Saccharomyces cerevisiae S288C: one gene and its partner. The protein of the gene in region 2 binds, or shares a complex with, the protein of the main gene of each other region. Each region holds a gene or a part of one and is shown on either strand. Other genes may lie near its edges. A codon is read from its position in the direction of its gene.

Region 1 (4,478 bases), on a different chromosome or scaffold from region 2:
TCGATGAAACTCACTTAAAGGAGCTATTTAACGAGGCTGTTACCCCTTTACCCGTTAACAAAATTAATAAGGGTTTCACACTCGTAAAGATGGGGTTTCCGACAAGGATATTCGAAGATACTCCAACTTTTTGTTCGTGCCATTCCAAGTTAGTTTACGGCGGATACTTCTGTCCCAATTGTCATAGTAAAGTTTGTTCATTGCCCACAGTCTGTCCATGTTGTGACTTGATGCTAATCCTTTCTACCCACCTGGCCAGATCATATCACCATCTGATGCCGTTAAAAACATTTGCAGAAGTACCTACAACAGAAAAATTTCGATCAGAAGACTGCTTTAGTTGCCAGTCAAGATTTCCCATACTGAAAAACCATAAAAATGGTAAACTACTGACAAGTTCTCGCTATCGTTGTGAAGATTGTAAACAAGAATTTTGTGTTGACTGCGATGTGTTCATCCATGAAATCCTTCATAACTGCCCAGGCTGTGAATCCAAGCCCGTAATAACTTAACGAAAATCTGTCAGCGTATAACACGATCACTCTTCCATCATATAACAAATCCAAGTAGTAGAGAACGAAATAGTTTTTGATGGACATATAACTACATAATTATTACAAAAATAACCTCATTTAATGTCCTATTGTTTATTACGAGAAAATCTTAATAGCACTTACGGCATTAAGAATATTTATTACTATTTTCAATTTATCAGGCACTTATTCAACTAAAAAAAAAAAAAAAATTCTTTGTTTTACAATAATATTAATAATTATTTTGAATAAATATCGTTACATTCTATCATAATGTCCTCTACACGGTACAACCAAACTCACAATTCTATTTGAGTGGGCGAGAGGTTTGAATTTTTTCTTACTGGGCTGTGTGTAGGGGTCATAGATGTCGCTTGTTTGAATGAGTGAGGGTTGGAAGGTGCAATAGGTTTCTGTGGAGATTTAACCAAAACACTGTCGGTCATCCGGCTTTCTCCCTGCTTCCAGCTGTCAAAATCAATCAAGGCTTGCATACATCCCCACTCTGTAATTTTCTTACTAAGCCAGTGTAAATTCACTGGTTTAGTCAGGTAGTCGTTACAACCAGAAAGAAGTGCTTTTCTTTTATCCATCTGAGAGTTAGATGCGGTCAATGCTACAATAATCACGGGCGCCTGAGAGAATCTCTTTGAAGTACCTTTTTCAAGATTGGAGTGTGAGTTATTGAGACTTTTTTGAATGCCAATGCCATTTTGTTTTTCGAAGTCCCTAATCTGCTTGGCAGCTTCTATACCAGACAAGACAGGCAGCTGTAAATCCATAAATATTAAATGAAGACCGCCTTCCTTCCAAATATTAACAGCTTCTTGACCATTTTTAGCCAGTTTATATGAGATTTTGTGTTTCCTCAGAAAGGAACCTAAGATAGCTTGGTTGATGACGTTGTCTTCAACTATTAAAACATTAATTTTGGGGAAAACTTTTTCACTTGTGGTGGTAAAAAGGTTTGGTAAAGGATCTGGTGGAGAGGAAACAGCAAAAGGTGCGTTATAAAGCGAGTTTGAGTAATGCGGCGTTTGACTACTTGTTAATATTGGTGATGCGGGCGTAACGTCTTCTTTTCTTCTTTGTACTTCCGACATGGGTTGCGTTATGCCTATACCAGCTTCATTAAGTGATCCGCTTTCTTGCGAAGGGGATCCGGTGTTCACTTCTAACTCTGAATGAGTAATTGTGTCTTCATTATTGAAAGATGAATCCGTGTGGGCCACTGGTTTATTTCGAAAATCTACCCCTCCTTTATAACCTTTTGGTAACAGCAAGATTGCTTGCCAAGGAGACTCGGCATCCTTTTCCTCATCCTTCAGTTCTTGTGACGCTCTTCTCAATTGCTCTTCATCAGTTATTAATTTAAATTCCTGAGGGCTGCTATTGCCATCTTTACCTTTAAGATCTGCTTTATCACCAATTGTTTGCTTAAGACCTTGTTCGCCCGGAGAAATATGGTCGTCTAGATGAAAAACACCAACGGCCCCATGGTCTGTTGGTTGAGTTTTCTGCTGCGAAATTTCTTCATTCGTAGGAACATAGTCTACAACATTTAAGATATCTAAAGGCGGTACATCCTGGCGTAAATTAACATTCGAAAATATCAGCAAAGGCTGCGATGCAGGTTGGGAACCCATGGTTCCGAATAGTTCCTTATATATGTTAATAGCCAATTCATCCGGTTCAAAGATGATTTTATAAGTGCAATCATTAACTGATTCTGTGGTAAAATTTAAACCTTTTCTAATCAACGGCCTTGTGTATTTATTTTTATTATGCGGTGAGACGTATGTAAGACCAGCTGATGCCATAATTTGATTATCAGAATGAAATTTAGGGTAGGGTGAGACTGAGGCAAATCGCAGTAACGGACTTTTAGTTGTTGCTGGAAACTGTTTAGGACTAGTAGAGTATGGTCTTTGCGGGCTTAGCATTGGCGCCTCGTTGGGAGGAAAATCCACATTGGTAGTCGCGGCCACTGTCGGCACGGCGGCAAAGGCGTCGTATAATGCTCCTCTTTTCTGCGTAGGTTTAGGATGCTGGAGAACATTCCTGTCCTTTGCAAGGTCTTTTGAAAGACCAAATGATCCTGCTGTGGGGCTCACTGAACTCTTGGTATTGCTATTAACGGAAAGGTTGGCGCCACTTCCAGCACCGTTACTCTTACTTCGACAACTATTATCGTTAGTGTTGTTACTACTGGTATTGTCGGCTTGATTGTCAAATTTAGGTGCGTAGAGGCCTATTGCAATGGAAGCATTATCGTTAATTTCTCGCCATCGAGTCGAACTCAGTTTCTGAAAAAACCTGCTCTTCAAATCATCAACAGTATCTATTTCATCGAACTGTACAGCAATTGGTTGGTTTACTTCATCAGTGGAGTTGTCTATTCGTAGCCAAACCTTCCACAGTAACGCAGAATTGAGCATTTTTACTTGTCTCCCCAAAATCGATTCGTTTTTGATTTACAGCAGCCTTTCCAATATTTCTTATACAAAACGGCCGAACTTGTACTCAAAATAAACGCTATTCTGAGGTCTAAAACTAACAAAACACGTAATTTTTCTGAATAAAACAATGTCTCCAACTAGTTAACCACAGCTTGGCTAGTTTCAATGTAGTCATTCCTAACAAAAAGGCAACCAGACCTATTTATAAATATATAGCCACTATTAAATTCACTAGAAAAAAAGTCAAAGATTCAATCCAGGGGCGCTTTTAGGGCTTCGGAAAGCTGAAAAAAATAGTTAGGACACTGATATCAATAATATAGGGAATTTGAATTATTGGAAAATGGAAATTAGGTTAAGGGATACCAAAAAAAGAAACGCGATAATTATAGGCATGGAGATGAGAATAATAACTATATATGTATGCGGTTCGGTACATATTCATTGCTGACTGAAGTCTGATAGTAGTCGTGGCGAATGGAGGTACATGAAGAGCAGGTCTCTGCACCTGTAACAGGGGATGCTACAGCAAAATATCTGCTGCAATATATCTTGTCAGCAAGAGGCATTTGCCATGAAAATGCTCTCATTCTAGCCCTAATGAGATTGGAAACCGATGCTTCAACGCTTAACACTGAATGGTCGATCCAGCAGTGGGTCGACAAGCTAAATGATTATATAAACGCTATAAACGTAAAACTGAACCTTTTGGGTTACAAGATCATTCGGATCAACCACGGGATTGGTAGAAACGCAGTGACTTTAAAGGCCAAGCAGAATTTTGAGTCCTTCGAAGATAATACAGCAATAAGGGCTCACAATAATGATTATGCAGTTTTGCAATCGATAGTACTTCCGGAGAGTAACAGGTTTTTCGTATATGTTAACTTAGCATCAACAGAAGAGACTAAGTTAGCCACAAGGTTTAACCAAAACGAGATCGAGTTTATGAAATGGGCCATAGAACAATTCATGATCAGTGGAGAGACTATCGTTGAAGGGCCTGCACTGGAAACCTCGATAATTGTGAAGGAAGTCAACCGTATTCTAGTAGCAGCTACAGGAGACTCAAACCTCGCGAAATGGCGTAAGTTCAGTACGTTTACTGTAGGGTCCACCAATCTTTTCCAATTTCAAGAATTAACAGCAACGGACATCGAAGACTTACTACTCCGATTATGCGAACTGAAATGGTTTTACAGGACTCAGGAAGGGAAATTCGGTATTGATCTTCGCTGTATAGCAGAACTAGAAGAGTATCTAACATCCATGTACAATTTGAACACTTGCCAAAATTGCCACAAGCTGGCAATTCAAGGTGTCAGGTGCGGCAACGAATCATGCCGAGAAGAGAATGAGGAAACTGGAGAGAATAGTCTGTCTCAAATTTGGCATGTTGATTGTTTCAAGCATTATATTACCCATGTAAGCAAGAATTGTGATCGTTGCGGTTCATCGCTAATCACAGAGGGCGTATACGTTATTT
Region 2 (2,951 bases):
GGCTGACTAACAACTCACCCATACAAAAATCACAAATCGACAATGAATACTTGCAAAAGCTTCTGAACAATGAGAAGGTTAAACAAATTGAACAGGATTATGACTCTGCAAGAGTGTATTTGGCAAACTGGTCATTAGGAGTAAAACAGGAAGCTGAGAGGTATCAAAAGCAGAACAAACTCTTTGATTCGTATAGGAATAACATTTTCAACGACCTGAATCTAACTGATGAATTAAGTGATACTGAAATAAATAATGCTCTGCAAAGACAATTTCCTTTAACGGAAGCGAAATGGAATTCGCTATGGGATGAGAACGATGGGAGGCTGAGGGTCACGGTAAACGAAGTTAAGGATTTCATATTTCATGGTGGGTTAGAAAATGACAGTTTGCGAGGGAAAGTTTGGGGTTTTCTCTTAGAAATATATCCGTGGGATTCTTCTCAAGACGAGAGGGTACAAATCGATCAAACTTTAGCCGCGGAATACGATCAATTGAAACTAACCTGGTCAAAAGATTTTTTACAATTTGACGATGAAGATGAAGAGGAATATTGGAACGATCAATTATTCAGAATATCTAAAGATGTGAGACGCTGTGATAGAAACTTGGAGATATTTCAATACAATACCATCGATGGATTACCACCACCGCCACAACAACTCCCAGCAAATGAAAATAACAGTACCAGCCCCGAATCCGCTAATGACGAGAGCGATGATGCAGACGATGGAGTCAGGAACCCACATTTGATACATTTACAAAACATTCTTATCACTTATAATGTCTACAACACAAACTTAGGCTACGTGCAGGGGATGACCGATCTTTTATCGCCTATTTATGTCATCATGAAGGAAGAATGGAAAACGTTTTGGTGTTTTACGCACTTCATGGACATTATGGAAAGAAATTTTCTAAGAGACCAGAGTGGCATCCATGAACAAATGTTAACTCTCGTGGAATTGGTACAATTAATGCTACCCGAATTGAGCGAACATTTAAACAAGTGTGATTCAGGAAACTTGTTCTTTTGCTTTCGAATGCTTCTAGTATGGTTCAAGAGAGAATTTGAAATGGAAGATATTATGCACATTTGGGAGAATTTCTGGACTTTCTACTACAGTTCACAATTCCAATTATTCTTCATGTTGGCCATTCTACAGAAAAACTCACAAGCTATTTTACAACATCTAAATCAGTTCGACCAAATATTAAAATTTTTTAATGAACTTAACGGGAAGTTGGATTGGAATGACCTAATGGTTAGAGCAGAGCTTTTGTTCAAGAAGTTTGAGAAAATGATGCACGTCATGGAAAGAGATTTACAAAACGTATCCTCCTCTTCATCCTCATCCTCTACCGGCGTATTGCCTTGTCAGAGCGAGAGGTTGACCCTGCTTCTTTCTAAAAAACCTATCATAAGACATGAAGGGCAAAGGAGCAAAAATTCCGTTAAATAGTGGTAAATAGAAACGGAACTTTACATATTGAATACCGGAGATATAATTCGTTTATGCCACATAATCATCAATACATCCGTAACCCGCCCGAAACGGAAAAACTGAAGAAAAATTACATAAAAAGTTTAATATTTTTATCAAATTTAATTGAACCTATATTTAGGAACATTATTGTTTTTAATTTCTAAACCGGTTGGGTTGGTCGATAGTTGTGCTCTGGATCATTGATAACCACTGACGTGTAATAGTTTTATTTCTTTGAAAAATTCAAAAGAAATAACAACACTCGTTCTCGGAAACAAGAAAATACACACAATAATGTCTACTATTCCCTCAGAAATCATCAATTGGACCATCTTAAATGAAATTATATCTATGGATGACGATGATTCCGATTTTTCTAAAGGTCTAATTATTCAATTTATCGACCAGGCACAAACAACTTTTGCTCAAATGCAACGACAGCTGGACGGTGAAAAAAATCTTACCGAATTAGACAATCTGGGCCATTTTTTAAAGGGTTCTTCTGCTGCATTAGGCTTACAAAGAATTGCCTGGGTTTGTGAAAGAATTCAAAACTTGGGAAGAAAAATGGAACATTTCTTCCCCAACAAGACCGAATTGGTCAACACTCTGAGCGATAAATCGATTATTAATGGAATCAATATTGATGAAGATGACGAGGAAATAAAGATACAAGTGGACGATAAAGACGAAAATTCCATATATCTCATCTTGATAGCAAAAGCTTTGAACCAGTCTAGGTTGGAGTTCAAACTGGCGAGAATTGAGTTATCTAAATATTACAACACAAACCTATAATCGTCATCATTTTATTCACACCTCCGGATAATCCATTCTTCCCCGGAAAAACACATGTACAATATATATTATATATATATATATATGTATATCAAATCATACAACTTACATAAAAACAACAAACCTGAATATTTTTCCTTTTCAAAAAGTAATTCTACCCCTAGATTTTGCATTGCTCCTCTATAACTCATTATTGGTTAAGGTGTAGATGTCACCAAGTTTATCAATGTAAAATTTAGGTCTTGGATAATCGTGCGAAATCTTCAAGGCTCTCTCTTCGGTTTCAATACCACTCAAAACGAGTAGTGTGCCACCTAACCCACCTTCAACACCGAATTTCATATCGGTGTTTAATCTGTCACCAACCATACAGCACTTTGATCTATCCAGGTTGAATGCCGATATAATGCTGTTTAGCATATTTTGATTTGGCTTACCACAGTACGATGGCCTCCTATTAGATGAGAATGCCAATGATTCAATCATGGAGCCTGCACCGGGAAATGTATAACCCTTTTGCGGGAAAGTAGAATCAACATTTGTACCAACAAAGTGAACAGAATCCTTCTGCAAATACTGCAGTGTAACAGCCAAACGGTGGTAATTTACCTTCGTGTCTAACCCAGCAATAACACAACTAACATCCTTATCAAGGCCGTTCACCAA

What was found.
Region 1: the proteins of YPD1 (region 2) and SSK1 are in contact, whole or in part, in a crystal structure (PDB 5KBX), measured with the Saccharomyces cerevisiae proteins. Residues at the interface, in NP_010046.1 of Saccharomyces cerevisiae: Ile13 (codon at 1,818), Glu16 (codon at 1,827), Ile17 (codon at 1,830), Ser19 (codon at 1,836), Met20 (codon at 1,839), Asp23 (codon at 1,848), Asp24 (codon at 1,851), Phe27 (codon at 1,860), Leu31 (codon at 1,872), Gln34 (codon at 1,881), Phe35 (codon at 1,884), Gln38 (codon at 1,893), His64 (codon at 1,971), Phe65 (codon at 1,974), Gly68 (codon at 1,983), Ser69 (codon at 1,986), Ala71 (codon at 1,992), Ala72 (codon at 1,995), Leu73 (codon at 1,998); in NP_013106.1 of Saccharomyces cerevisiae: Asp511 (codon at 1,441), Asn512 (codon at 1,438), Val513 (codon at 1,435), Ile514 (codon at 1,432), Asn515 (codon at 1,429), Ala517 (codon at 1,423), Ile518 (codon at 1,420), Ser521 (codon at 1,411), Phe522 (codon at 1,408), Arg524 (codon at 1,402), Lys525 (codon at 1,399), Gln556 (codon at 1,306), Pro633 (codon at 1,075), Val634 (codon at 1,072), Asn635 (codon at 1,069), Leu636 (codon at 1,066), His637 (codon at 1,063).

What each region holds. Positions count from the first base shown.
Region 1 is NC_001144.5:160,923-165,400, forward strand, and holds SSK1 (mitogen-activated protein kinase kinase kinase SSK1), read right to left. Parts: upstream 2,972-4,478; coding exon 833-2,971; downstream 1-832. Other genes in the region: TFIIH/NER complex subunit SSL1, read left to right, coding at 1-512; Smc5-Smc6 complex subunit NSE1, read left to right, coding at 3,470-4,478. UniProt on the Saccharomyces cerevisiae protein: Final receptor of the SLN1-YPD1-SSK1 two-component regulatory system, which controls activity of the HOG1 pathway in response to changes in the osmolarity of the extracellular environment.
Region 2 is NC_001136.10:32,749-35,699, reverse strand, and holds YPD1 (Ypd1p), read left to right. Parts: upstream 1-1,781; coding exon 1,782-2,285; downstream 2,286-2,951. Other genes in the region: GTPase-activating protein GYP7, read left to right, coding at 1-1,463; PHO13 (4-nitrophenylphosphatase), read right to left, coding at 2,466-2,951. UniProt on the Saccharomyces cerevisiae protein: Phosphorelay intermediate protein that is part of the branched SLN1-YPD1-SKN7/SSK1 two-component regulatory system, which controls activity of the HOG1 pathway and gene expression in response to changes in the osmolarity of the extracellular environment.